2 linked regions of the Arabidopsis thaliana genome follow. The protein of the gene in region 1 interacts with the protein of each later gene in a pairwise test. Each region holds a gene or a part of one and is shown on either strand. Other genes may lie near its edges. The genes, in order: AT3G15780 and ADS1.

Region 1 (3,970 bases):
AAGATCCAAATCTAATCACAATCATCTCCAAAACAAGTGCCGCTTGGTGGATGGGAGAAAACAAAAGCTTTCCAATATGAACAGAACAAATAACAAACCAATGGTCCAAATTGCACGTAGTTAATTATTTCGATTCTTTGAATAAGTTATTTCTTGTCCTAACATTTCTTTAAAAGGGTTATAATTTGCTTATGGCTCACGTAATCATAAGTTTTTAATTATTACATATATGACCACCAAAAACACCACCTAACTTTTATCACCATACCGCTTTGAATTTTCAAACTTTATTGTGATTTTATTTACAAGAAACGAATTTAGAATTTTAGTGGATATGTTTGTTTCAATGCCAATGGATATCGCCATATTGGTATAAGATTCTCCATTACAAAAAAAAAAATACACTAGTATAATAGCATGTAACATTTATACAACATAACAAAGTAGAATCTACAAGATCAACATAATTTTTATCACCCTTGGGTTTAACCTCCGATTAGTTTTTTCTTTATAAGAAACAAATTAACCTATAAGAACGAATATACATTATTGTCTTCAATTATGGCAAAACGAGGAAGGATCTAAAAAACCGAACACAGTCGAAAGGAGCCAAAGCAGTCAAAAGTGGATAAGGTAAGTGTAGGGTCCAAAGCCTTATAACTCCACACGACCACTACACTCTCTACACATGGCTCGTCGTCGTTTTGGGGCTATACGTGGGGTCGGGCACTTCTTCTTTCAAGTTTCTTCGAAATGAAGTATCCGAAACTTCCAGATACACGCAAAACCCAGAAAAGAGAAAAAAGAAATCGTCTTTCCTTTTACTTCTCTTCTTCCGATTGGGTCTTTGATCATTTCCCCAATCGATTGATAAGTTTTGTTGGGTTGCTTTCGATTCTTCGTTTGATGATCTAAGAAAGTCTCTGTCTTTCCACGATGGGGTAAGTCAGTTAACTCGTTTTAAGGTTGTATAAGGTTTTTGATTCTGTGGCGAAAAATGTTATCTTTTTAATCTGGGCCATTGGAATTCGAAAGTTTTTAGCTTTGGGTATTCATAAAGATTTGAGCTTTGAAGGAATAAGCTTTTGGATATAAGGATGATGTTTTTGTTTGGATGATGATTTGGTTTAGCTATTACACAAAATGAATGATATGTTTAATGATTTTGTAACACAGCAGTAGTTGTTTGGCTTGTTTTGATAAGTCGAAAGCAAAAACAAGTGTAGATGTGCCTTTGAATGGCACAAAAGATGTGTTAGTAGAAGAAGATTGGAGTGAATTGAGGAAGCCTAGTGTAGTAGCTTCTGAAGATTTCTGGACTAATACCACTTTAGATATGGAAAGCAATGCTCACGGAAGTGTTTCTTCAATCAGTACAACCAATCTGACTATTGATTCTCAAGGATGTGGTTCCAGCTCTAATGAACCTGCTGAATTTGTTAACCATGGTGAGTCAGTGAGTGAGAAGAGTATGATTGGTGATTGGTCTTATTGAGCATTTGAAAAATAATTGGAGAATTTTTTGGGGTGTTACAGGTCTTGTGCTATGGAATCAAACTCGGCAGCAATGGGTGGGAGATAAAAGATCCGAGAGCCGTAAAAGCGTTGGTCGAGAACCGATTCTAAAGTGAGGATTATATAAGACCTAATGGTTCGAAGAGTCCAACTGTTGTGTGGAATATAAACAGTTTGATTGTTTTTGCAGTGAGAATGTGACTTATGAGAGTCTACTTGGGAGCAACAAGCGATTTCCGAGGCCTATACCTCTTGATGTAAGTTCAACTCCATGAACTGGAGGAAGTAACTATCCATTCTCATCCAAATTTTGTTTGTTATTGAAAGTTTTATCATTGCAGGAAATGGTGCAGTTTCTTGTTGAAGTTTGGGAAGAAGAAGGTCTATACGGCTAAAAGATTCTTTTTTACACATTTACAATTGTAAAGAGAGCTGAGAAAAATATATACACCCAACAAAAAATATTTGTTGATGGATCAAATTTTATAAAATTCTCTTGATTTGGAGTAATTTCCACAAAAATGTTTTTTTTTTAAATTGTCGTACACGTGTATGTCTGAATCAGAAACCCCTTAAATAAAAATGAGTTCTTAATTTTATCGTCGAGGAAAAATGGCGATGGCTTTGTCCAACCCGACCACAAGCACTAACCTCTACCACTACTCAATTCTCTCGCCGTTCTCACCGCCGTATCACCTTCACCGTCGAAACACCGTCCTACTAGCGAGTCCCCGCCGTTTACGCCGCCTCGCCGTCGCTGGTGGTCCTCCTTCTCCTCCAGGCCCTGATCCGCCTCCGCCTGAGGACACCACTCAGCTAGAAGGTTCGATTCTTCTTGCCCAGATTGATATTTTGGTCCTTTGAATCCTACTTTGTTTGGTTGGTCTTTGTTGTACTTGCTTTTCAGTTTTCACTTTAACTGTTGTGTTTTGGGTCGAAAGTTTCAATTTTTATCCGATAGTTTGATATAAGTATGGAGTCTTTTAGGTTAGTACTTGGTATTGAATCGTGCTGAGATTGTTATTGTATCATGAAACTTCCAAAACATGAGGATGATTTCATCCAATTAGTTGTTGTGTCCATGGAACCAAAGTTCAAATCTTGTGACATGATTTTGGCTTAGGCAATTAGGATTGTGGAATTTACTCCTTATGATTCAAAATGGCTACCATTTTATGTGGGGATTTTCTAAATTTTCTCTTAAGATGTAAAATTGTGCAGTAGTTGTATGTTCATTGGTTCTGCAATTAGTCCATATGTTATGTTGAATAGCTTGGGTGATGATTCCTTTATAACATAGAAGGATAGGCTGGAAATAGAAAAAACTGCACTCATGACTGATACTAAGTGAAATGAATACTCTTGTTTTCTTTTTCTCTTTGTAAAGGTCTTGTGGGAGCTGTGACAAGGGTTCAAGACCGCGTAAAGATTTTCCTCGCAGTGTTCTTTTGGATGTTTCTCTTCTTCTGGGTTACAGTCACAGATGGGACGGGTAAAGGCAAAGGCAAGAAGGGTTCACGTTTCAAGTAGTTTCCATATATGAAGAGGCTTTGGTGATTATCTACTACTCTATACTGTATATATATCAAGACTTCAAAGAGATCAAATTACCTGTATAAACTTCACCAAGTAAGCATCTTCCTTGTACATCACTTATTCAGATGATAATAGGAAACAATAAGATCGTGTTATCTTCTTGGTTAATGCTAGTGATATATAGTACTCAATTCCTGATTCTTTCCCAGTCTCCATCTGATCATGCTTAAAAAACGGCGTCGTTGAGCAATAGGACTCAAGACATGAATGGGCCTAATTTATGGGCTTTAAAGAGTTTAAACCACAGTAACGTTCTGTTTTACCGGACTCCAAAGCAATACTCCATTAGAGTTTTTTTCCCCCAAAATGGAGAAAAGTCGTTAACTATTTGGCACGTGTATTGCATGAGCACCAAGTAAGTCTAAATCTGCATTAAATGCGAACATCCGAGTCGACTTAACACCTTTTGATCAAGGCTTTAACGTGTCGTTGTTACCATAGAATATAGATGATAGAGCGCATTTTATATCACTGGATATAGACACGTGGTTAAACTTAATTGGGTTGTTAGTTAAGTTGTTGTGCTACCTCCAAGTGACTTTATCATATACTCTGTGTGTTTCTGGTAGTAAAAAAAGGTCTAAAACCATAGTGTTAAGCAAAAGAGAAAAAGAAGAGCAGAGCAAAATCCCTAAAATTTTAAACTCTGTTTTGCTTTCCGACAATCAAACCCTAGGTTGTCTGTTGCTTCATTCGTGTAAATTGTTAAATTTTTTGTTTTTGTTTTCTTGGCATTTTGTGGTTGATCTTTCTAATTTGTTTTCAGGGGTTGCTAAAGGGAAAGGAGAGAGATGGGTGGTGAAGAGGAAGTTGTTTCTGTTGAGCTACCAGCACCTTCTTCATGGAAGAAATTGGTTTG
Region 2 (5,052 bases), on another chromosome or scaffold:
TTTCAAAATGAAAGAATGGAGAATATTTTAAAAATCAGAGGCTTAGTAGGGCGAGGCCCCCTCTATGCCGTGAACGCTCACAGGAGCCTTACTTATTTTATCTCTTTGTTTCAAATCTTATCGACGGAAAATTTCTATAACCCATTTAACAAAAAAAAAAAAAATTATAACCCACAAATGATTGTATAAATAGTTTACAAAACGATAGGTATATATGTAGATATATATAGTACTGTCTATGCTTATATACTTTTACAACCCGGTTTAATATTTATATAATTACCATTTATCTCTTCATAAATTATCATATTAATTTATGTAATAGCAACCCCCAACTGTATTTATAAAAAAAAATAACATTATGCAATCGTCAACATTACTACAAATCTATATATTATTTATAATTAATTCATCTATAAGAAACTTGCTATATGTTTTCATTTAATATTGGTTGGAAGGTTATTTAGTCAAAGAAAAGCCATTAATAGCTGGAGATTTAAACTCCATTGTGAATTACAAACATTTCTTAATATGCAAACCATTACGAAGATGTATCCGGGACTTAAGTTGCTGTTTAAGTCTAATTTGTTCACCGGATGGAGACAAAACATGAAATAACGGCTAAATTAATTGTAAACCATAGTTTTCAAGCTTTGATTAAAGAGTCAAGCGAAACATTAATTTTAGTGTTGGGTCTTTAATTATAAATCACCGATTTGCATTCAAGTTTTGATAAGATATCTAGTTCGACTCTTCGTTCGGTTTTGGTTTAGTAAGTAAACAATGGTAGCGACGCTAAGCATGGTTTGATTCATAACTTCATGTGGTAGGTTATGGCCTTGGACTTTACTTTGGTCGAAAAAATATATCATTTTAATATTTTCGCAAAATAATAATATATGTTTGATTTATTCTAAAATTCAATATAATTTACCAAATACTATATTTAACTATATAACTATTTCAAAAATAGTGTATTTAACAGAGATAAAATTCTATTTGTATAAGAAATTCAGCACAAAATAGTTTAAAACAAAAAGAATTTTACAAGGACATTTTCGTGAATTTTAAACAAACACATTAAAAATAAGAAGAAGACAAATTAAAAAGAAATTCAAAGTTAAGTAAATGCAAACACATTTTTTGTGCCAAATGGTCGTTTAAAAAGGATTCGAGAGTTCACGTGCAATGAACTTGTACTATATATGCTAATCAAAATCTACTTACTTTAAATTATTTAGACGTTACATTGAACTGTCTTTAGATAAAAGATGTACTGTAATATTGGCCTTGTCTATCTTAATTCATAATTTTATTTTAGTATACCTAGATTATTTTTGCTTATCCTTTACTGATTTTACAAAGTATTCAAGACCATAAACACTAGTATAGTAGTATTGAACTAAACTTAACTAGCTTGGATTTGACCAAGATCTATGCAATATATTAAGAACTTGTTATACATATATGTGGGTTAATAAGCCATATATACCTACACTCACAAATCTTGAATATAGATTGTGATACAACAGCAATATTAGTACAAACCATTGGATGCTCTACAATGTTTTGTCTAATTGACCAAAAATAAAATTTAACCTCATATCTTTCAACCACTTTTTTCATAAGATTAAAAAGTTTTGTCATATATTCTTAATTTTTTTCCCTTGACCTAGCTAGTAGGTTTTCTAAAATTTCGGATTTGATACGTATATTCTTATAGTTTGCTAATACGTATCGGATACAGCATCTTTGTGTATGGTCCACCAGTAAATTACATTTGGGTAAGTATTTGATTTTAGTTGATTTTTTTCCAACTTATGTCACAAATCATTCATGTATCAAAAAAGTTGATACATTGTCAATTTACTATTAATGTATTTATCCATATAAAGTGACTTCTAAAAGTATTTTAAATATACAAAAAAAAAGTAGCTTAGATTCTTTTTCATGAAAAAATTTCGAAAAATTAAAAATGAAGAAAAAAAAAATCCTGCCAACTCCTTTATTAAGATGGTAAGAGAGAGCTCTGAGAAGAGAGAAGCAGCACCAAAAAAAATTCATATCTCTCTTTCCTTTCAATTTTCTCAGTTGTTAAAACCTCTCATACTCATTAGAGAGCTCTTCACGAGAGAACTCTTTCTCTTTCCCATTAAAGATCAAATCTTTCTTCTTCTTCATCAACACCATCATCATCATCACCGTCATGTGTAACCCATCAACAACAACAACAACCACCGGTTCAGAGAACCAAGAATCTCGAACCGGACTCTTCCTCGATCTCTTCTCGATCAATAGCTTTGAACCCACAAAGAGAAATCTCCGGCATTGTGAGAACAGAGGATCTCCTCTTATGGCAGAAGCTGTAACAGAGGCGAAATCTCTCTTCACGTTAGCTTTTCCGATCGCCGTGACGGCTCTTGTCCTCTACCTACGCTCAGCCGTATCAATGTTTTTCTTGGGTCAACTTGGTGACCTCGAATTAGCCGCCGGTTCACTCGCCATTGCCTTTGCTAACATAACCGGTTACTCTGTTTTATCCGGTTTAGCTCTTGGTATGGAACCACTCTGTTCTCAAGCCTTCGGTGCTCACCGCTTCAAACTCCTTTCCCTAACCCTCCATCGAACCGTGGTTTTTCTCTTGGTTTGTTGCGTACCGATCTCGGTTCTCTGGTTTAACGTCGGCAAAATATCGGTTTACCTTCACCAAGACCCCGACATCGCGAAATTAGCTCAGACATATCTCATCTTCTCCCTACCTGATCTTCTCACCAACACTCTTCTTCATCCAATCAGAATCTACCTTCGTGCTCAAGGCATCATTCACCCCGTAACCCTAGCTTCTCTCTCCGGCGCTGTTTTTCACCTCCCGGCTAATCTTTTCTTAGTCTCTTACCTCCGTCTTGGTTTAACCGGCGTAGCAGTCGCTTCCTCCATCACAAACATCTTCGTCGTTGCTTTCCTCGTTTGCTACGTCTGGGCGAGTGGTCTTCACGCGCCTACATGGACTGACCCGACCCGTGATTGTTTCCGCGGGTGGGCTCCGTTGCTGCGTCTCGCGGGACCAAGCTGTGTCTCCGTGTGTTTGGAATGGTGGTGGTACGAGATCATGATCGTTTTGTGTGGTTTGCTCGTGAATCCAAGATCGACGGTGGCTGCTATGGGCGTTTTGATCCAGACGACGTCGTTTCTTTATGTTTTCCCGTCTTCTCTTAGCTTTGCTGTCTCAACTAGAGTCGGAAACGAACTTGGAGCCAACCGTCCCAAGACAGCAAAGCTAACGGCTACGGTGGCTATCGTTTTCGCGGCGGTTACAGGGATTATAGCGGCGGCGTTTGCTTACTCAGTCAGAAACGCTTGGGGAAGGATTTTCACCGGAGACAAAGAGATACTCCAGCTAACAGCGGCGGCGTTACCGATATTAGGTCTATGCGAGATCGGAAACTGTCCTCAGACGGTGGGATGCGGCGTCGTGAGAGGAACAGCACGACCGTCAACGGCGGCGAACGTGAACCTTGGAGCGTTTTATCTGGTGGGCATGCCGGTGGCAGTGGGTCTCGGGTTTTGGGCCGGAATTGGGTTTAATGGGCTTTGGGTAGGACTACTTGCGGCGCAGATTAGCTGCGCAGGTCTTATGATGTACGTGGTGGGGACCACAGATTGGGAATCGGAGGCTAAGAAGGCGCAGACGCTAACGTGCGCTGAGACTGTAGAGAATGATATTATTAAGGCGGTGGTGGCGAGTACTATAGACGGTGAGTGCGATGAGGCTGAGCCGTTGATTCGCATCACGGTGCTTTATTAATATTAATTAAGACAAAACAAAACAAAATTATAATCATCATAATTATTCCCATCTCTTTTCCATAGAAGGAGAAAGTTTTGCCTTTCTTTGAGAAATTTAACATTTTCTTCTTTTTTTGTACTTAAAAATTTCTTTTTTTTTATCTCCTTATTTTTTCCGATGCCCTTATGATTGGCCGTTTATATGGAGTATCTATGAGTTTTTTTTTTATAAACTACTACATATGCTAAATACTTGAATAAACTCACATGAATGCAAAAAAATAATCACATGATTTTTTTTTTGCTCACAACTAAACATTTAATTACACCCAATCTGAGACAAAAGATGTTGGGACCATATAGCTGGAGCGACAGAGAATTAATTCAAAATAATTTTTGAAATGTTTTTGTAAGTTAATAAGATAATATGGAGAGAAGAATTCACTGTTGAATTGTAGAGACTTATTATTATTTGAAGGAAAAAATCTTACTAATAAATAGAAAAAAATGGGTGATAAAAAAAGGAAAGAGAGTAATATGGTAATTTGGAAAAAAGTGGCAACCCTGTGGGAAACAAAAACTTGTGTCTCAAAGATTCAGACAGGTCTGAATGAATGTTTTGGATTCCCTATAGACTATAGAGTGCTGTTTTGTTCAGAGATGAGAGAGAGAGTGAGTGAGAGATATCAAGTCCCAAGGACCATTGTATTGCATCATCTCATAAATTATTCCTACATTTTATTTTTATTCTCATCATAAATTATTTTATCCATATAATTCTGCATTTCGATGGGTATGGTTTCTAGTTTATTATTCTTATTATATAAAAAATAAAGTTTTAAAGTTGACGATAAAATATGTTATGTAAACTTCACTATAGATATTTTTTTTCCATTTCATTCTATCATAGTGAAATTTGAGAATGTACATTGTATAAGATCATACACTTTTTTTTTTGTCGACAAAAATCATACACTGAAAAACAATGAAAGTTGTTACAAATATAAACAAACAATAAATCAAATATAACACTTTCTCCTGTTGTTTAGAACCTTTTCATATGCATATCAGCATATGCATTAACAAATTATTGTGATGTATTATGATTTCATACTGAAAATTAACGAATTCGTTGTAAAATAAAATAAAAATTAATTCATTGTAAAATAAAATAAAAATTAATCAAGAGATACCTTATGAATTTGATGTGTTGTTAATTTCCAATTATTAAATATAATATATTCCCCTTCTTTTTCTTTAGATATC

Evidence for each region.
Region 2: the proteins of AT3G15780 (region 1) and ADS1 interact in a protein complementation assay, tested with the Arabidopsis thaliana proteins (one large-scale study listed by BioGRID).

Annotation. Positions count from the first base shown.
Region 1 is NC_003074.8:5,339,307-5,343,276, forward strand, and holds AT3G15780 (uncharacterized protein), read left to right. Parts: upstream 1-2,049; 5' UTR 2,050-2,127; coding exon 2,128-2,338; intron 2,339-2,902; coding exon 2,903-3,045; 3' UTR 3,046-3,251; downstream 3,252-3,970. Other genes in the region: AT3G15770 (uncharacterized protein), read left to right, coding at 937-941, 1,177-1,448, 1,537-1,627, 1,706-1,772, 1,857-1,910; MBD11 (methyl-CPG-binding domain 11), read left to right, coding at 3,903-3,965.
Region 2 is NC_003075.7:14,366,942-14,371,993, forward strand, and holds ADS1 (MATE efflux family protein), read left to right. Parts: upstream 1-1,935; 5' UTR 1,936-2,206; coding exon 2,207-3,805; 3' UTR 3,806-4,254; downstream 4,255-5,052.